Drosophila melanogaster: one gene and its partners. The protein of the gene in region 2 interacts with the protein of the main gene of each other region in a pairwise test. Each region holds a gene or a part of one and is shown on either strand. Other genes may lie near its edges.

The links.
Region 1: the proteins of Cys (region 2) and Tim17b2 interact in a two-hybrid assay, tested with the Drosophila melanogaster proteins (one large-scale study listed by BioGRID).
Region 3: the proteins of Cys (region 2) and stai interact in a two-hybrid assay, tested with the Drosophila melanogaster proteins (one large-scale study listed by BioGRID).
Region 4: the proteins of Cys (region 2) and Dpm3 interact in a two-hybrid assay, tested with the Drosophila melanogaster proteins (one large-scale study listed by BioGRID).

Annotation. Positions count from the first base shown.
Region 1 is NT_033779.5:15,482,027-15,486,536, reverse strand, and holds Tim17b2 (translocase inner membrane 17), read right to left. Parts: upstream 1,809-4,510; 5' UTR 1,701-1,808; coding exon 1,170-1,700; 3' UTR 992-1,169; downstream 1-991.
Region 2 is NT_033777.3:14,567,581-14,571,878, forward strand, and holds Cys (Cystatin-like), read right to left. Parts: upstream 2,065-4,298; 5' UTR 2,029-2,064; coding exon 1,844-2,028; exon of another isoform or gene 1,786-1,843; coding exon 1,590-1,785; 3' UTR 1,523-1,589; downstream 1-1,522. Other genes in the region: CG8066 (uncharacterized protein), read right to left, coding at 827-1,019, 1,084-1,205; CG7987 (uncharacterized protein), read right to left, coding at 3,153-4,298.
Region 3 is NT_033779.5:6,117,994-6,125,744, forward strand, and holds stai (stathmin), read left to right. Parts: upstream 1-2,680; 5' UTR 2,681-2,817; coding exon 2,818-3,217; intron 3,218-3,780; coding exon 3,781-3,950; intron 3,951-4,011; coding exon 4,012-4,197; intron 4,198-4,270; coding exon 4,271-4,417; intron 4,418-4,704; coding exon 4,705-4,860; intron 4,861-4,984; coding exon 4,985-5,071; 3' UTR 5,072-6,660; downstream 6,661-7,751. Other genes in the region: CG31642 (uncharacterized protein), read left to right, coding at 765-2,438; Arpc4 (Actin-related protein 2/3 complex, subunit 4), read left to right, coding at 7,256-7,751.
Region 4 is NT_033777.3:13,401,101-13,405,228, forward strand, and holds Dpm3 (Dolichyl-phosphate mannosyltransferase subunit 3), read right to left. Parts: upstream 1,952-4,128; 5' UTR 1,889-1,951; coding exon 1,739-1,888; intron 1,671-1,738; coding exon 1,536-1,670; 3' UTR 1,459-1,535; downstream 1-1,458. Other genes in the region: GILT1 (Gamma-interferon-inducible lysosomal thiol reductase 1), read right to left, coding at 579-650; yellow-e3, read right to left, coding at 2,348-2,835, 2,901-3,294, 3,359-3,706.

The DNA of each region.
Region 1 (4,510 bases), on a different chromosome or scaffold from region 2:
CCCATGTGCCAGTCTCTCTCACCTTGGTCCTACCTTCGACTTCGCTGGGCTCTCCGTTTTCCCATGAGGGAGTTCTCCTGGCCCGCTCACATATGTCGGAACTCCAACTGCGGAGCTGGGAAAACAAACAGGACTGGCGGTACTGGTTACACATGTGTGAGCTGGCCGGACCGGAGCACGTACTATGCGCGTAGGTGCGACTCCTTGGATTCCCCAGTTCTCCAGTTCCCACACATCCTGGCCGGGCCACATGATGATGTTGCTGTGCTTTTCCCGTAGCGCCAGGCGTGTCCAAATGTTTTGTTGCGGAATTCCTCAAGGCGAGGAATCTCGCACACATTACGAGTAGTCGGCGCTCGCGGAAAAAAAACACACGAGCCAAAGTTACATATGTTCTTTGGGCCATTTATTCAAGAAATTTCCATGTCGGCCGAAAAGGGATTTCCTTGTAGGCGGCGTTTTCCCACGATTTTATAACTGGGCTCGACTTCCCATCTTCCCACCGTCCATGTGTTGCTGGGAAATCGGCGTTGCCTTTGGTTTTTTGCCTTGCGGGGGAAAAGTTCTGATTTGAGTGCGCTCGAGACTTTCCAGCTAGGAGCAGGACATGTGGCCGGTAGCCAGTGCCACTCAGTACCTCACTCAGTCTAATGGCCAGAACACCGCGGTCATCTCGAGTGGACAGGTTGTAAAGTGGCCACACCCGCCGACCGGACACTTGACTCTATGCGCCGGCGCAGCATCGCAGGTAGTCATCTGGAACAGGTAAACATTTGCCAATATCTCACGCTGACCTATGACACGTGTCAGGTGTCTTTGTCGTGGATTCGGGCAAGTGTGAAACAACCTACTACCTGTTGAGGCAATAATGATTATGAATACGAATGAATTAACACGGAGAACGATAAGAGGGCCAATTGCATTTGTTCCTTCTTCCAAAACGAGCTGCAAACGGCAGCTAATTGTATTTTAATAATTATAAATCCGTGTTAAATTGTTTGAAATTTAATAAATTGGTTCCTTTGCAAAAACAGCTTAAATGGAAATACTGCAATTTTGTCCATATTTTATTGTCATCGAATTTTTCAAATGGAATATTGCTAAATCTAGCACTTATGAAAATCAAAAAGGACTACGTATTAATATACCCAGACAAGAAAAATCGGAATTTAGCTAGTTGCAGTGGCCTGCTGAGCACCCGGAAATCCAAATCCGGAAGAGTTGAAGTCACCGTATCCTTCATTGGCATCAGGCATGATATGCGGTTCACGATTTCGGAACTGTTCCGCCGCGAAACGTGTAAAAAATATGCCTAAGCCCTCGATCATTGAGAGCAGTACGCCACCGATAATTGCACTTCCAGCCATGGCCGCCGCTCCATTGCGTGAGGCCAGAATTCCACCAGTAACTGCTCCGCTCACTATCGAGTTCCAGGGATCCTCCTTTTGGCGAAAGTGGACCAGACTGCAGTCCACAATGCTGAACACTGCACCCCAGGCGGCGAAACTTCCACCTATCACCGGAGATTTGGTCTTGATGGCAGCCACACTGCCGGCGACCCTGCGTCCTAGTCCCTGTGGTGCGTTCCGGAATCCCTTGAGTCCCTGGAAGAGCCCGCCTCCAACGCAGCCCATGATAAAGGCTCCTCCGCAGTCGTCGACGATGCGATGGGGACACGGTTCCCGCGAATACTCCTCCATCTTTGCACTTTTCCACTGGCAGGATTTCCTATCACTGGCCGAAATTAAAAACTGAATTTGCTAAATTTCAAGCCTTCTGCTTATTTTCTACAAATGAGTTATATGTGACTTGGCGTCGCTCGATATGTATAAGGAAATTATGAGTTTTGTGTCTGTCAATTCCAGAGTTTGTTGTGAATTGTGCGACTAAGCTTGCTACATACCTAGTAGATTTAAAATCATGGAGAACATGTCCAGGAACTCAAATTTCAAACTACAGGTTGTAAGTAAGAAGTACTTGGTTTTGTTTGTGCCCCCACCAGACACCCATTAGCATATGAACCAGAGTCAGAGCAAACAGAGTCGCACGTGGATCGGGGATCTTTTGCCCCGAAGCTCAATGGCACAAAAAGGTTAAATAGCACAAATGTCGGACCGTAGTTAACCATAAAATTTACTGCCGCAGCTGGACAACTTCGGCTCGAGAATGGGGAGGGGACGGGGGATTGGGATTCGGATTGGGATGGGGATGGGGCCATTCGAAAGACGCAATTCGTACAAAGGCAAAGCCAGACGGTGGGAAACGGAAACAATGAGACCGATTGTCGTCGACCGATAAAGCCAAGCCGAACCAAACCAGAACTCCAGACCCAATACTATTTTATACTGCGTATGTCAAACTACTTCAGGAGGGAAGCTTACGATTGCATGCATAATTATCACGCGAGCATAATCGAAATTTTGAAACTGCCGCAACTGTGTTTGCTTAGCTCGAAAAAGGGGGAAGTCTTCGCATTCGGGCCCTCGATGGATATCTCCGCATAACAAGGTGTCAGACAGCAGTGACAAATGAAAGCGAAACCCCGATCGAAACCGAAATCGATGGGCAGGCATTTAAGTATGAGGGGACACCTGGACACACACGAAGCGCCAGTCCATTGTTCAACAGGACAAATCTCGTCAACTTGACATGTAAATCGTTAGAACGTGTTGCACTCGATTGATTGCTCTCACTCCCGAGAAGGTTATCGGGGATCATTTGACGGGAAATGGCTGCAGGATAAGACATTATATATAATTTGTAAATGTAAATACTGGGCATATTGTTTGCCACTGCTGCGGGATTTCCAATGAAATCTTCATTTCCACGGTAATTGTTGTCGCTTATAAATGATTTAGATGGGATTAGATCGATGTGGTGTTAATGTGGGCACATTATGCGAAAGGATTGGCCATTCCGTTCTAGGACGCGATCCGACCATGGGTTTCCCACGAATTCCGGAGATTCGAGCCTTACAGTTTTCTGGGAAGTCACAGGCCAAATGGAATTGGCCTACTAGCCCATTTAGTAATTTTATTAACATTATTTGTTGTTAAAATACCAACGTATTATGTGAAATTAAAAAAACTGCAGTTGTCTTTGGATACAGAACAATTTAAAACCATATTCAAAATTTTAAGAACAGCATTCTACAACTGTAAATCGAGCTCCACAATGTACGCTACAGAAATGCAGGTTTGGTAATCTATTGTGGCAATGTTTTTTAAAACAATAATGATTATGTAAACAGTAAAAACTCAAAAATTATAATATCGAACAGATATGATCTCTAAAACGGTTCCGTTTTCCATCTTCCGATCTCCGAATGCTCCGTTAGAGGCCAGTGTTTGGGCAGCTGTGATGCAACATTTTGTTATATCTTAAGGAATATGCATCTGCATAACCCACTACAAAGGGAATCCAGAACGGAACTCATTTGCCCGCTCGAAGAGAATCCCTGCACATGCCAAAACGCCAGCCAGAACAAAGGGGGCGAAACAATTGCGGTTGCATTACCCCAGCAGTCCAATTCAAATTCCGACAGCCTCCAGCCGGGCAATGAAATTCAAAAATTCAAAATCAAAGGGCAGGCCTGAGTCGACAAAGGATGTGACTCAGGTAGGACCCCGGGCCTGCCGCCAAAAAAAAAAAAGAAATGCTGAAAAATCTCGAATGGTGCACTATTGTTGTGTCCTGTGCCCTGACTGTGATTACTCGTATTCCGATGTCGATCATAAATGCGGTAGTTTAATGCACTCTAAGAAACCAGTATTTGCTTTAAGTACAAAATAAAATTCGTAGAACCGACTGACTTAAAAAAAAGTATAATGAATTTGAAATCTTAGCTTAAGAAATCTTCTAGAAATTTAATAAGCCTAGCTAAGCTCATTTTAAAGTGTCCTATTCCGTGTGTATAATATATGGGAGTAGTAATACTACTTAACACTACAATTTGTAGAAAAATACTATACTTAGATATGCAAACATTTTTATTAACTAGAATTGTTTGCAATTTTGCCATACTTTTTTGCCTGGTGTACTCGCCAAATTCCCCATCTCTGCACTCAGCATTGTACGCCCGCAGATGCAAGTCAACGTCCGAATCAAGTCTCGATTTTTTGGGCTGAGGGCAAACAGATGCACATCTTGCCAAAAACCAAAACCCAAGAGCTGAAAACGAAAAACCCAAGCCGATGGCCCAAGACGAAGACGCGCCAAAGGAGAAGAATCCTGGGCTGAGCTGCAGCTGTCAATGCCAAGCCACCAACGCGCCACCCTCGAGTTGACATTATTTCCAGCACCGATTTGTGCTGATTCCTGATTTCAAAATGCTCCTGCCTGCCCGCAGGCGCAGATGCGATATCCTCTGGGTTTCCTTGGTGCATTGTTGTTGTCCGTTCACCCGTCCGCCCGGTGCAATGATTTTTTCTTAACGGCTCCTTGTCTGCTTTGTGTTTGTGCGGGTTTTTTTTTTTTTTTGCTCTGCACAAGGAGCATCTAAGGTCCTGCC
Region 2 (4,298 bases):
GAAACCGCTTGTTTTGAATCTTTTTTTTTACTTAATCTTCAGTTTATTGGTTAATATTTTACTTTGGTTTTGCACAGGCCTGTCGTTTTGTGATATCATTTTAATTGTTTGCCCAGGTCAGGAGCATTAACATTGTATGGACTAATCATTCTGTGTGAGTACACCTTTATTTGAGTCAGTCGTTAGCAAATGTTTAAAGTTTTCATTTCTACTTTTCGAGAGATAATGATTATTCAATGAAGGTTGATAAGAATGAATATATGACTTTAGGGGGTGGAGTTTACTGACGCTTTTAGTTTAGTTACCAGTTGCCAGTTGTGTTTCTGATAAATTACTAATGTCTATTGTTTTCGAAAGGTCTTCTGATTATTTAAAAAAAACAAGCTTATTATCAGCAAGAAAGGGGGAATTATTATTTGTAACATCCACTGACACCGCTGATGACGCCCACGCTGACTAATTAAACACACACAATAGTTGAGAGAAAAGATAATACGATTCACCTATTGAGATATATATATTGAGATATAAACAAACTGGTTATGCCAACAGAACTGGTTAACCAACATCGGAACAGTTTTATAACCTACTTCACCGGCTTGTACCTGAAACCCAAGAGAACCTTTTCCATCGGATCATGTTTTAATGTAACCAAATGTACACAAATCCTCCCAGATAGTAAAGGTAAGGCTCTCTTCTGTACGCTACCTGAGGTCGCAAGAATATGGTTCCCCCCTAAGGGTATCTATAATTAAGTCCAGTATATAACATATGTATAACATTTAAGATAAGAGTTAAACTGTATGTAGGTCTAAGGTAAAACCTTCTACCAGGTGTGGTCCAGTTCGTCCTCACCCGGGAACTTGATCTTGATGTTGGTGCCGTTCTCCTTTAGCCATGCGCGACTCCAGATCTGCACAGTGCCCTGTTTTATCTCGGATCCATTGTCCAGCTGCACCTCGTAGGTGTTGAGTCTTCCAGCTACGACCTGACCCGTCACAGAGGTTACATTAAGTGCCCTTCAATTGGAGTAAAATCAATTAATAAGTGGCAAGCTCTAGACCGAGTTTAGCCTTAACTCACTTGTAGCTGGGTCCATCTCCGTTGGCCAACTGTGCGAGGGTGGCATCGAGGAGTTCCAGAGCCTCCTTCCTCTCATTCCCCTCCAGCTGACTGATCCCGCCTACAATTGGAACGTTGGACATGGCGGCGATAGTAGCAAAACTCAACAAAACCAAAACCAAAACATGAAATGATATCACTCTGTTCCGTTCCGATTGTGAGTCAGCTTCTGGAGCTTTTGTTGGAGTGAAAGCTTCTATGGTTGTTATCTCAATAAATATATAGTATCTTATATATGTATATGTATAGTATGTGTGTAATTGCCTAGCGATGGGAATTGGTTAGCACGGAACGTAAACAAAGCAAATCAAGTATTTATACACTCCTATTATTTTTCCCAACAATATATTGGATACTTTGCAACAATAGTTCCCCGAAAATTAATCAAAAATCATTTTTTAAATCACGTGTATCTTGTTTTTTTTTTTATTATTATTTCTTTCAGGGCAATTCTCACGAAGAATCTTCTACCAGGTGCGGTCCAGTTCGCCATCGTCACCAGAGCACTTGATCTTGATGTTGGTGCCGTTCTCCTTGAGCCATGGCTGAGTCCAGATCTTCACGGTGCACTGCTTTTTGTCGGATCCATTGTCAAGTTCCACCTCGTAGGTGTTAAGACTTCCAGCTACGACCTGACCCGTCACAGAGGTCACATTGATTGCCCTAAGATCAGCAGATCAATTAGTATGAATTTTAAATTCGGAACTCAGTTCTAACTCACTTGTAGCTGGGACCATCTCCGGTGGCCAACTGTGCGAGAGTGGCATCCAGAAGTTCCAGAGCCTCCTTCCTGCTGTTTCCCTCCAACTGGCTGACACCGCCTACCACCTGCTCATCGGCTGCTTGGGTGGCAATCAAGCTGACGAGAACCAGACCCAAAATACACAAAGATTTTACTACGTTCATGTTGCTCGCTCGACGACTCTGAGAGAACTGATGAACACCCGGCGATGTGGCCCATTTTATACCTGCCATCTCAGTGGGAGATCAACAATGGAAAAATACAATAGGCTCTCTATGCCATCGATCCAAGACTTGACTGGCCCATCATCAGAACTATCAATAACCAGAACCTCACTCGGGGTTTACAATATTTAAGAAAATTGCTTAGAAAGGCAAAATAAGTGAAAAAATAGTTTTAAGATTCGAAATATTTTTTTTTAGAACATAAACTACGGTATCTACGTGTCCTGATATTTTCGCAGCTACTATCCAAATATTTATAGTCAATATTCAAATATTTATAGTCAATATTCAAAGGTGCGCCCCCTTTAAATAAGAATCTATTTCCATGATTAATAAATATGCATATGCAAATGAAATCGTTTACTTATATTCTAATACGGCTCATTGGCGGTAATTAATTGATTTATCAGATGGGCGAAAGCCGCTTTTCTGTGAGAATCGTTTTGATCTCTACTTCAGTTAGCAGTTGCGGCTTTAATTGAAAATCTGTGCAAATGAGCCGAAAACAAGTCACCGTACACCACATATGAAAACATATAATCATGGCTTCAAATTACACACAGACTTCCGGTATGCTCTTATCAGTGTTTCTATGAGTATGTACTACAAAGGTCAGTCGATATGTATTAAGACCCACATGTGCAAGTTTATAAACATTTAACCAATTATAAAAAGTATATTACATGCCACTATCGCAGTTTCCAAGAAAATTTAAGATTTCTAGGAGAGATTTCAAACATCAGAAAAGGTTACATGAGCCCATCTTATCAATCAGATTCAATCTATACGTGATAGCAAAATTTAAGGTAATGAAAAACCATTTAATGATGTATTTATTCCAGCATACCAATTCTTCAAAACAAAAGCTGAGGTACAAACTTAAAAGCCTTACGAACTATTCTCTCTATAATAGGTTTAGGTTCCATATTTTAAATAACGCATAAATCAACGATATTTTTCGATGCACGATACCTTGAGGTAATTTACTCCGATTTTGTTTGTATATAAGGATAAGATGTTTCAAAAATACAAGGCTCCGGGCGAGTGGTTTAGGTAGCTTCCATTTAAATGTGAATGTGCACATGTTCCAGCAGCTGGGTGCGATCATAAAAGATGGCCGAGCACATTTCGCACTCGAAACTGCGAGTTTTCCGCTCCGATTTACCAGCTGCCGCCGCTTTAGCAGCCGCATCCGCGGCGTCAGCTGCGGAAACGACCTCCGAGATGGAAAAGAATCCGCTGCCCACATCGCCGTTGTTGGCACTGGCAGGTACGTTTACATTGTAGGAATCCACCCCGTACGAGAGGTACGAGGATGAGCTGCTGCTGCTCACCTTGGTGGCAGTGTTCGATTTTTTGGCCACCACTCCCGGGGATGCCGACGTCTTGCTGGCTACGCCACCTGTTGTTCTCTTGCTGCCTGCCCGTGCACCATTGGCAGTGATTTGTCGCAGATGTCTGGAAGTTCTAGCAGATGAAGAGGACGAAGGAGTGCTGCCGCTATGAGCGATGACTCTTTGCTGACCCTCCAACATTTCCCGCAGATCCGGAGAAGTTGGTTCAATTTTTATAAGGTTTTGCTCCTCTTCGTGCAAATATTGTGGCGTGGTGGATGACTCGCTGGTAAAGCGAAGACGAGAATTTCTCTCGTGCTTCAGTGGAGAGCGGAGGATCTCCTCCAGATCATTAACAATGCTCGGATTAAACTTCTCATAAGTCTTCTCCCTGAGCAGAGCAGCATCTATCAGTAGGTTATCATCGTACATAAGTTGAACACGCTGTTGTTGTTCCTGCTCCTGTTTGATGTGCAAGGGACTGGAGCTGATCTGATTTGGCGGATGAGTAGCTGGAGAAATGATTTCATAGTCATCCACCATATTTGAGGCACTGCTGCGGGATTTGTCGAGGCTCAGATTGTGCGACTCCGTGCGACTTATATAGGTCTTCGAGCGCGTTTTCTTTGCCGAACTACTAGTGGAGTCTCCGCCAACTCCTTTTGTCACCTTGGCTTTCTCTGTGTGAATCATTCGAGGTCGCGAATTACTGGCAGGAGGTGCTTTGCTGGCTGTTTTAGTGGTTGCTGCCCTCTTGCGGCTCCGAGTGCTGGCAGTGGAGGTGGAGGCGGAGAATGTAGTGTCAGATGTGGTAGCTGAGCTATTCAAATTTTCGGCTCCTTCTACAGACTTCGCCTGAACTTTTCCCTGCTGCTT
Region 3 (7,751 bases), on a different chromosome or scaffold from region 2:
TCTACCAATTGCAATGTATAAACAAAAAAGGCGAATGTTCTATTTAAGTTGTTCCAATTTTGCGACAAAAAAAGAAGTGGAAAAATCTTAAATCTCAAGCAAATTAATGATTATATGTGCAAACTCGTAAAAAATACAAATGCGAACATTTTAACTCGAATATGAATATAACACAAATAAAAGGGTTTAAGAAACGAAACTGTAAACGAAATAACTCATCGAAGCTATTGTATATGAAGTATATGCTATCTATTATGGCGGGTTATGCGTTGATATCATAAGATTACAAATTATGCAAAAACATGTTGTTTCTATAGCTACTTAATTGTACATTGTAATTGTAAGTAATTTATAAGGCCACAGAAATATACTCCGTCATAGAAACTTCTCGTCGTGCACGTGCTCCTATTTTTTCGGGATTTTCACAATTGTTGATAGAATCGAGTTGGCAGCGCCTTTTGGAGTTTAGCTTTCAGTCTCACTTTTTTGTTCGATATTCAATAGAAGTTTAGTCAAATAATTTTTCTTGTCGAGTAAAGGTGTTCATCAGTTGAAAGTGAAAAGTTGTGAAAAGAGTAAGTTGTTGAAACGAATAAAAAACACTGGCGAGGCCGCTCACATTTCAATTTTAAATAGGGTTCTCTAATATCATAAACAAAATTCAGCAAACTTTTGAGTCTTCACCAACGACGATTCTCTGCGCACAATTCGTATATAATATCATCCGTGCACGAATTCCATTGCCAGAATCACTTCAAGCACCCATGGCCCACCAGATGCGCAATCCGCCGGAGCGCCACTTTGGCCACCGCTGCGAGAACTGCAAGATATCCGATTTCCAGGGCCGCCGCTACACCTGCAGGTTCTGCGCGGAATACACTTTGTGCGGCAAGTGCTTCGATGCCAACCATCTGCCGGCATCGCCTCAGCATCGCTACTACCATCCGATGAGTGTGTACTATGCCTATGCCGAGTACCAGCTGTACTTCGGCGGCGAGCCATTCTGCGGTGATCACAAAGTGGCCCAGAGCTACAAATGTGCCCTGTGCGATGTTCGCGGCCTTTCTACCGCCCATTTGTTCATGCACCTGCTGCAGGAGCATCGCGACCACCGTGACCACGATGCCTACTTGTCGTTGGTCAATACTCTCTATATAGCGGACAACGGAATGGAGCAACAGGTGCCAGTACCGCAACCTTCTAGCCAAACGCGCTCGACTCGTTCTCGCAATTTAGCAAGCGTTCGACCGGTAGCCGGTGGCAACACGCGAAGCGAACAGCGGACCGAGCAGGTATTTGATTCCGCATTAAGCCTGGCCCTAATGGTTGTGCAGCTGGACAATATGGATTCAACTGCCGCCGACTTTCCTGAACGCTGCTATGAGATACTGCAGCAGACTGAAACTGTGCTTATGCAGCACAGAAGTTCCAGAGTGCCGGACATGGAGGCGATTGAGTCTTTTGTGCGCGTCATCGAAGATCAGGTTGTGACTAGCATGGCCGATCGTCGTCAGCGTCTGGGCGCCTCATCATCCTCACTACATCGGCTGACCCGCATTGAGGCAATCTCTCCTGGTACTAATACAGCGTTAGCTATGGGTATGCGTGCTGCCATGCCCGTTTTGGTTGACCAGCCGACAACAATGGTGCGCAGGCAGACGGCTAGGCGTACTGGAGAGCCTATCGGGATAGCCCTTCAATCGGCGGTGGCTTCGTCTTCTAGGAGCGGAAAAGCGGGGTCCAGCTCTGGGGTAGCCAAGGCACAAACGAAGACGCAAGGAGATCAGCCCACCAAGAAGGTGTCAACTGTCATTACTTCCCCACTCAAGGATAAGCGCTTTTTGTGCTCGAAATTGGTGAGCGGAAATGGCCAAAAGTGGGAAAGCAAATTGCTCAAAGCTACCTTTACCGAGGCAATGTTCTGTTCGATGTTGGCAGACGAAGAGCTGTTCCAGCCGCCAATTGGACTGCCCTGGACTGCGAATTTCATGTTGGACGCAGTCGAGCCATCAGGCAGTGTAAAATCAAATGGGAAACTATTGCTGTATCCTGTTAAGACCAAGGAATTGATGGAACGCTTCTACAGGGGTCTCGCCGAGTACAAAACTTGGATTGGTTATCAGACCGAACCAACTGCCGAAAGCAAGGCAACTGAACTCCCATCCGCTTCCACCAGCTCGGCTTATTTCACAGTTTTGGGCGATATCCCATATGCGGATTCCGGATCGGATGATTTGGAAAGTAATGCATCAGAAGAAATGGCCAGCGATTTGCATGGCGAAGGAAACAGCGATGATTTAGCCGGATTGGAGGAGGACAAGGAAAGCGGCGAGGAAGAAAACGGTGATGAGGACGATGGAGCTTCGGATTCCGATTTCTCTGAGTCAGCCATTTCTCAAATCACCGACTTCATAGATATGGTCATCCAGGACGAATAGGCGGGGCACCCAGCATTTGTAGGAAATAAGCCTCGGTATTTTCATAATTACATATGCATATGTAGTATTTTGAAATAAACATTTCTAAAAGAAAATGACCAAACGATCTGGATGTTTCCTCAGGTTTTTCCATTTCATAGGAAGCTTTTCTCGGATATTTCTCTGGCTAGTGGAAGATGATTTACAAAATCTTATTTGCACATCTAGTAGGCAGCGCTTTTCCATTTTATTCCGGTCTACAGTTGTCTCTATTTGTTATTGCAAAACATTTCTCCGACATCTGAGAACAAAATATAAATAAAGCATTAAACATTTTTCGATAAACCCAGTAACGACGCCAAATTGAACTTCGATCAGTCATTTGATCATATCATTTAAAATGGGTTGCAATTTCTCTGCTTTACCGACCAAATGTAAGGGTTGCGGGCAAATTCGCGCTGACTTTGACCGACGGTACGGTTGCAGTGAGTGCGGATCTGAGGTAATGTACTGCGGCCAGTGTTTTGATGAGGGCCGAAATCAGCACACTGAGACGCACAAGGACGACCGCCGCATTAAGATTATCTACCATCGGTCCTTTCTTGACAAATTCTTCAGCGGCGAGAAGCTGCTAAACGGCGATGCTTCAAAAAGCTACAATTGCGTTTTTTGTAAGAAGAGATTTAGCGCCGAGGAGTTGCAGTTGCACTTGTCCGAGATGCACTCGAATCCCGCGGATGCGTCAGCGTTGACGGTCATGCTGGAAAGGATGAGGCAGGAAGATTTGGAGAACAGAATTGGTGAGATATGGCAACATTTTGGGTAAACAATCTATGCACACTCATTGTGATTGCCTAAAAGCTTTTGTCACCATTGACACTCCATAATAATAGCAAATTATGTGTCAAAATATGGTTATGGATACATATAAAAGGTGTCCACTGTCGGCTGTCGTGGCAACATCTTCAAGTATCGTTATCCCTCTTGTTCAATGATTGTATACATATACATATTTTTGTTTTGACAAATCATTTTTCGCTTCGTTGGTTGTCCAGCATTCCATTTGATGGATTTGTCTACAAGTTAGATAATGAGAATGTCAAGATATCGATTTTAGGTGATTATATTTCGATGTAACACTAAATTCGTATTGTTTAACTTATTGGCCAAAAGAACAACATTTAAGTTTAGTTTTTAAGGGGGTGGAAGTGTAAAAATGACGTCATGTTGTTTTGATGGGGGGAAAGCCAAGTCGAGGGTTGAACCACGAGGTTCACCCTTAACCGCAACTATTCGATGCACCCCAAGTGCAAAAATATTGAATTACTATAAGTCTCCCTTTGCTTTCCTTCCTCCTCCACAGCCACAGAGATTCGCTGCCAGGAGAAGTCCCGCGGGGGATTGAGCTATGAGGTCATCCTGGCCGAACCGGCACCCAATGTGGCCGTTCCAAAACGACCGGTCACCCCTGGCAAGAACGTTAGCGTCGAGGAGATTGAGCAGAAACTTAAGGCGGCCGAGGAACGTCGCATTGTAAGTACATAAATTAAAGAATTAAAGTTGTTGTAAAGCAAGTGAAATCTTGTTTCCCCAGTCTCTAGAAGCCAAGAAGATGGCTGACATCTCCACTAAGCTGGCTAAAGTCGAGGAGGCGACTCGCAAAAAGGATGAGATCACCAATGAGTTTATTACTCAGACCAAGGAGCAGCTGGAGTCGAAAATGGAGCTGCATGTGGAGAAGCGAGAGGCCATCATCAGTGACATGAAGGAGAAGCTAAAGGTAGGCTACCAAACCTATTGCATCCCATAGTATATTCCCAACTAACCAAGTATTTTCTTCCGTTTAACGAAAGATCCATGCCCAGGATATCGAAAAGACGCGTGAGACTCTTGAGCAGCAGAAGGCCAACGAGCAGAAGGCAATCGAGGAAAAGTTGAAGATTGCTCAGTCTCTTCGCGATGAGAATATCAAGAAAATGTTGGATCGCCTAAAGGAGCATGTGAGTCTATAGCATGGCCAAAAGTTTTCATTAAATCTAGTTTATGATTAGATGTATGTAATTATAATATTCAATACCCAAGATCCCATAAGTCTCAACAATTACTTTATAAACATTACATTAACTTACATTCATTGCTGGAATATAAAATTGAAATGACACATCATTTTGACTGGACTAGCAAACTGGTTAACATTTAGTTAGTCATTGAGTGTACGAACTATAAATAAGTTATCATGCGTTCATATAATTTTGGTTTTTCATTTCTCTTATATCCTCTCATTTAGAACACAATCAAAATTGCCGAAATCAAATCGCAGAACGATCAATTGGAATGTCAAAAGATCGAGGAGAAAGCGCGCATTTATGAGAACAAATTGTTCGCCGCCGAGCAGAAACGCGAAAAGGAATTGCAAAAAAAAATTGAAAAAGTTCAAAAACTCGTACGTGTTGTTCCCCCCCACTGAAAGCGACAATTTGCCCTATTGTTTGAGTAGCACTTGGCAGTAGTTGCACATCTCCATTCGCAAACGAATATTAATCCTTGATTGCTTTCCTTTCTTTCAGGAACGTCGCGCTGAGCTCGTGCGCCAGAACAAGGCCCAGGCCCAGGATTTGGATGGTCAGCAGAGCGCCATTGCCTCCTCAGGCTAAGTGGAGAACGATCCTGCATCGAGAGCTGTGCTCACCCACTGCAAACATGGTTACAAGGCGACTACAAAAAGAACAGCAACACTGCATAATACACCAACACATATTTAAGCAAGAAAACCCTTAAAACTGAAAACGATTTCTCAAAATTTCCAAGTATTATGAAAGCAAACGAAGCGAAGGGCAAGGGCAAAGTCTCAAGATACCGCTGAGCGAGTTTTCTCACGAGCTCTATAATGAAACACGAATAAGCTACTATAAAGCGAAAAGAAATGAATGCTTACGGCAAGTTAATGCAAAAAAAAAATTAGTAAAGGAAATCTACATTTAAACTTAAAAGCCCAGGCAGAAAAGCCTATGCAAGTTGAATGCATGCCTGTCATTTAAAATTTCAAATTCTTTTAAAAGTTCACGTTGATTTCAGTTGAAAGTTTAAAACACTTTTTACCTTGAGTTCCAAGAATGTTATATTCGTTTTGGATTCATTATTTTCAAAGTCTTAGTCTTGAATGTTCAAGTTTTTTTTTTTTTTTAATTACTGTGGCATCGACTGAGGTATTCTCAAAATAATAAGCACGCTGTATTTGCATCTATGAATGGCTTTCGCGAGTAAAAATTTGAAAATGTTTTTAATTAAGTTAATGTATACTTTAGTGGTAATTTTAATTTACTAACTTGCAACAACATGATACATATACATGCTGAATATAGTTTTACACTAACAAATAATTTGTTCTTATAAGTTTCGCATTTTCTATCTATAAAATAAATGTCTAACAGAAAAAATACATAAGAAATGCTTATACAATTCAATAAAATCAAATACCATGTAAAACACACGAAACGCATTTTTCCTTTATTTACATACAACACAAACACTAAAAACGCTGATATAGACATTAATATAAATGGAAGGAAACTACGTATAAGCATACATTAATGTGTGTAATATTATATGGAAATGCATATTTTGTCTAACGTCGGGTTATTTTTAGAAATGGGTTTAAGAGGAGAGTGAATGTGGGGGTTATAATAAAAAAAAAAAAAAGTATTTAGGGCAAACCAAATGGAATATTTAGGAAAATTTTTTCCAAAAACCTGCGAGTTATTTTTAATTTTGCACCAAAGGGCGCTTTAAAGATTAGCTTAAATTTAAATCTTATATCGTTATATATGTATGTGTACTCGTGTAAACCTATGGCTTCTACAAATGAATATCAATAACATAAATCTCTTAATAAAAATGTGCATTGGCAAAACAATTTAACACGCACAGGACACCAAATTACCCAGACACGAAAACTTTCAAGCATACTCAAGAAAAAACGAACAAAATATAAACGCAAAGCATAAAATGCTTTGATATTTACTCAATTTATGATATATTAATGTCTAATCCAATGCAATAATCAGCCGAAACATTTTTTGAGTATTGAGAGTAGGAAAGGGTTACAATTTTGAACGATTGATTAAAATACTCACTTTCTAGGTTCACGCATAATTTAAGTTCATATAAGCCACAAATAACTGACCATATGCGAGCAAAAATACTTATAACAATTGTATAATAAAAGTGCATTAAACAAATAAATGCAATATTTATAATTGGTGGATGCTGTTTTCTTCTAAATTAACATTTTTCCTCTTTGCTGGTGTGTTGGGTTTTCGGACTTTAATATGGTACACATATATTTGATATTTCCATTTCAAATTTTAACGCTTCTAGCCATATACATTTTTCTTAAATTTTTAAAATTTAGGTATGATTTAAATTGTTTCACTCCTAAAAATTCCACAAAGATAAGATACAAATGGAAATGGAACAGTGGTTGTGGTCTCGGGTAAGTTCTTGATAGTCAAGTTTCTTACCATCTTAACACAGGACATCATAAGAAATGTTTTAAGTGCGATTTGATAAATGTTTAAAAACAACATGTTTAATATTGATTGTATAAACTTTATGCATAGTCTTCCCAAACATATAATAGAAACTGTTTCATAACAAATTCCAAATAGTTGCTATGTTTTTGCGGCCCCACCTCGGCATTGGTATTTTCCTGCCAGCCGCGCATGGTCACATCTTTTCTGGTTGATAAATTCCAGGGCCTGTGAATCATAATAAGTTAAGTAAAAAGTGCAGATACAACAAACCGCAGGCAGCAGACAACAACCCGACACCCAGACACAATGGCAGCCACATTGAAGCCCTACCTGACCGCCGTGCGACACTCGCTGACGGCGGCGATGTGCCTGCAGGACTTCCCCTCGCAGGTGGTGGAGCGGCACAACAAGCCGGAGGTGGAGATCTGTTCCAGCAAGGAGCTGGTGCTCACGCCCGTCGTCGTGTCGCGCAACGAGCGGGAGAAGGTGCTGATCGAGCCGTCCATTAACTCGGTGCGCGTGAGCATCGCCGTGAAGCAGGCCGACGAGATTGAGCGCATACTGTGCCACAAGTTCACCAGGTTCATGATGCGACGCGCCGAGTCGTTCGTCATACTGCGCCGCAAGCCCATCGAGGGCTACGACATAAGCTTCCTCATCACCAACTTCCACACGGAGCAGATGTATAAGCACAAACTGGTGGACTTTGTCATTAGCTTCATGGAGGAGATCGACAAGGAGATCAGCGAAATGAAACTGGCGGTCAATGCCAGGGCACGCACCTGCGCCGAGGAGTTCCTCA
Region 4 (4,128 bases), 1.2 Mb from region 2:
GAAGAATTGTTAGATAAAATGGAATATGACTAATGATCTTCTGCTTGAAATTGCTGATACTTCTTGGAAACATTGTGCTCAGTGTAGAATGAAGTTGCAGTTGGGGCTGTGCCGGCAAGCTCCGGTTCTTCTATGAGAAATCGAAACTGGTCTCCGAACCGGTTCTTCGCCCAAATGAAAATAACAACAGAGCAACAGGGCGCTCTCCAAGCTCACATACACATACATACACGCATACACATGCATTTATATTGTCAATTATGCTCTACGCTTTTCCACGGTGGCGGCATTTTCCGATCCGACGACTACGACGTGTGGCACAGTTCGTTAAACTCTCGAAATGCCACTTGTTGCTGCCACGAAAAGGGTGCAGCTCTTTTATGGATTTTTTTATTTTGCATTTTTGTATTCCTATACCCCCACTATTTAGTTATTCGACTTAATCACGTCTTCACCTAAATGGTAAAAGCAATTCGGAGTGCCCCTGACACGCTTGGCTGTTGTGTAATGGCTTAGTTGGCCCCGTTGGCTGATTTTTCGCTAGTTTGGCGAAGGGTTTTTCCGAGCCGGAAACTCACCTTAGCGGCACTATAAGCCGTGGCAATCAGGCAGCTCATCAAGAGGCACACAGCGGCGATTTTGTGACTCATCTTCAGGCTTCTCGTTCTTCAGAATTTCTTATAAATGCAGTTATATAGCCAGCACGTAACGAACGGCGGTCGTGTTGTTAGCGGTTCGGTGGCTGAGCGCGAACTGTTGATTGTTGTAGAGAGCTTGACGCTTAAACCGCCGTTCCAGTTCCAGTCGGCCATTAGAAAGCCGATTTCCAGACTGCCCAACCATGAGTAAATAAATGTACTATCTTTTTTATCATCAACTATGTATTATCTTCTTGAAATTTATTTCTATTTTCAAACTATTGTCCGCCATTAAAAAAAAAATTACACAAATTAACTTCAAATGGCTATTAATCGGTTTATATTGGATCTTTTGAGTATCACAACATTCAGCTTCGCAATTATAACTCCTTCCAGTATTTTGCAGAAGAGAAAATTAAAGTTTTGAAACAGTATATTTTTTTCTCTTTCGCATTGTAATTAAGAGAATTTTAAAAAAATTGATTTATTGGAAATAGATAGCCAAAGCATGGATTTGCAATATATGGTTCGCACTTACGAGTTTTCCATATACCATGTTCATTAAGTAAAAATATGTTTTCCGTAAAGAATATTATTAATCTCTTTAAACGTATTTTACCTCATATACTTTTTTAGTTTTCTTATATTTTTTATTTTGAGTAATTCACAGGGGAGCTAAGCCAATTAAACATAAACATATTCCATACTTTTTCAAGCATATCCTTTCAAAACCTCAACATAATTTGGCCACCAAACTTCCGACACCTGGGGAAATCAGCCCCCAACAACGCGTCCGCCCACACAAAATGCGGTCTAGAGTAAATTTGCGTAATTTTTGTTTTTATAAATAATGGAATTACAGATTAACATGCACAAGTCCTACGAGCTGGAAGTCTCCTAATCTCGAAACCGAAATCCCTTGGCTATCAAATCCTTGCGAGCCTCCTGAATTTCATCCTGCAGCTCCTTGGCGGCCTCGGGACAATCGTTAAAAGTCAGAGTTCTATATAGAACAGTCCAAACGGAATATATCTGTGGGTAATATATAGTAGTAGTCAATAAGAGGTGTTATCTGCATTGATTCATATCCAAAAACTCACTCCAAAAATCACGAGGAGCAAAAGTGGTAAAAGCTGAATGTGCAGGAAATACTTGGTAGTTAGTGGCGTTTGCACTGTTCCCAAAACAACGGAGAGATAGGGAATCGCAAAGAGCGATGCGTAAAATAGCCAGCGTTGTAGATTTGTCATAGCTAACGAAATTTATTGGTAAACAAAACTAAACCGAAAATAAAGTTCTACACGTAAACATAGAGCTGGAACTTAAGCCGATGGTCACCCGGTAATTCGATATCGATATTTACCGGCTACTATCGATAGGAGGTTTACCTATTCAAATCTAGTTAGAGGTTTTCCTATTCATGTCTAGTTGGAGATTTTCTAATTAGTAATTCGTAGCCTGACGGCTTCCAGTTAGACATTGTTTACTTTTCTAATTGGCTAACTTAAGTGTGACCAAGCCCTAAGCACGTGCCATAGCACAAAGCTATCCACAGTCAGCAAATCAAATGCCATACTACTCAGCTAAACACAGTCAGCAATTTATCGATAGATCAAAGTTGCGCCATAACAGCCAGCCTTCTACAGCCAGCAATTTAAATCAGAGTAATCGATTGACGCAGTTTCAAACTTGTTAAAACTAAGTTTTAATTAAACGTTGGTGGGCGTGGTTTCTGCGGCGCCCACTGTACACGGCGTGTTGGCAAGCAGGTCAGCGGTTCGGCAGCCAATTATTTGGAACTTGACCTCGTTCGCGGGCAAGTCGCCGCCAACAAAGAGTTTCGGCTGGCTGCTCAAGGCCCACAGCTCCTCCTCTCCCTTGGAATTCCTGTTGATCTTGAGGCCCGTGACGAACTTGATCTTGTGCGGATTGTAGGCCACCACACGCAGGTCATCCGCCGTGTAGTTGGACACGGACTCCTCCCATTTCACCAGCGCCCCTAAACTGATGAGGCTGCAGTAGAGATTCCCCGACTGATCCATCACCTCCGATTCGCACTGGATTCCTCGGGTGCCCAGGCTGTGGAAGCTATCCCTGCTGGCATTCGCAGACTTCCAGAAGGTCTCGTTGTTGATCAGGGAGAGCGGAACCCTCATCTCATTAAAGGAGTTCAGCGTGTGAAAGTACAGAAAGCGGTCTGTAAATTTGCATTGGAAATTATAAATAATTTTTGAGTATTTAGAATTTAAATTGAATAGCTACCTTCCACTTCGCTGGGACTGAGGCTCACTGTAAATATTCCCGCCTGCGAGTTGCTGGAGCGTCCTAATCTCAGCAAGGGCGACGGCTTCATGGACTCATGCTCTATGCGCCAGGATCGTCCCGTCAGGGAGTCAAACACGATTAGACCATAACCCCAGGCATCGGCTATATACGCTCTGCCGCCAACACATCGGTTGGGTGTGCCCCTCTCGGCCAGATCCACCACCAAAGCCGTGAAGATGGATACGCTGGGAATGTAGGAATCGGGCGGAAGTGCGTGTCGTTGGACTAGTTCGTCCTTCACCAAATCAAATGTGAGAATTTGTGGCGGGCACAACTGCAGGGAGTTTACCTGCCCTGAATCCACCACCCAGAGTCGCCAGCACTCGTCGATCTGGGAGAAAACGATAAATATTCATGAAATATCTTCTGTTGGGAAAATATGCTTTATTACTTACATAAGTCCTAATGGCTGAGGTGATGCCGGAGCAATTGTTGGGTGGCACGTGCCACTCCTCGTTGGGATACGGTTCCAGTCTGGGATTCTCCACCAGCTCATTGTGCTCCGCAATGACGGTGGCCAGTGTGAAGGGTGTGGCCATCCCCAGTCGCGGAATCGTGAGAAAGGTGCGATGCCTGCCCTCATCGCCGTACTCAATGTCCACATCCACCGGCAGAAAGCGATTGCCCTTGGACAGATCGTCGCCCAAACTGAGGTTCGTCCACTGATGCAGGGTGTGCAGCTCCTTGAGGACCAATGCCTGGCCCTGGACTGCACAAAATAATGCGAGCAGGACGACCAACATGGCTATCAAATGAGAACCTGCTAAGTGACAGTTCCGCGCGGTTCAAACGATTGCCGAAGACTAAAGATGTGCAGGTAGGCCCTAAAGTTCTTAGCCTTCAATCTCAAAGTGCACTCAGAGAAACTTAAGCTATGTGGTAATAGAACAAATGTTGCAATACATTTAAGTCCTATCATTGCTAAATCCAAAGATAAGAATCTTTATTTAATGATTTATTACTTATAATTTTATAAATGCGAATGAATGTAAAAATTTAACACGACCTCAGCACTTATTAAGTGAAAAGAATAAGAAAGCTGATAAAGAGTGTTTGGCATTTTGGTATTTATTTTTGCGAGTGTAACATGGACCATCAAACCCAAAGACAAAGGTCGTGTACCTGTGGCGGTCAAGCAAACACTTTCGAATCGTCCCAAGATTTA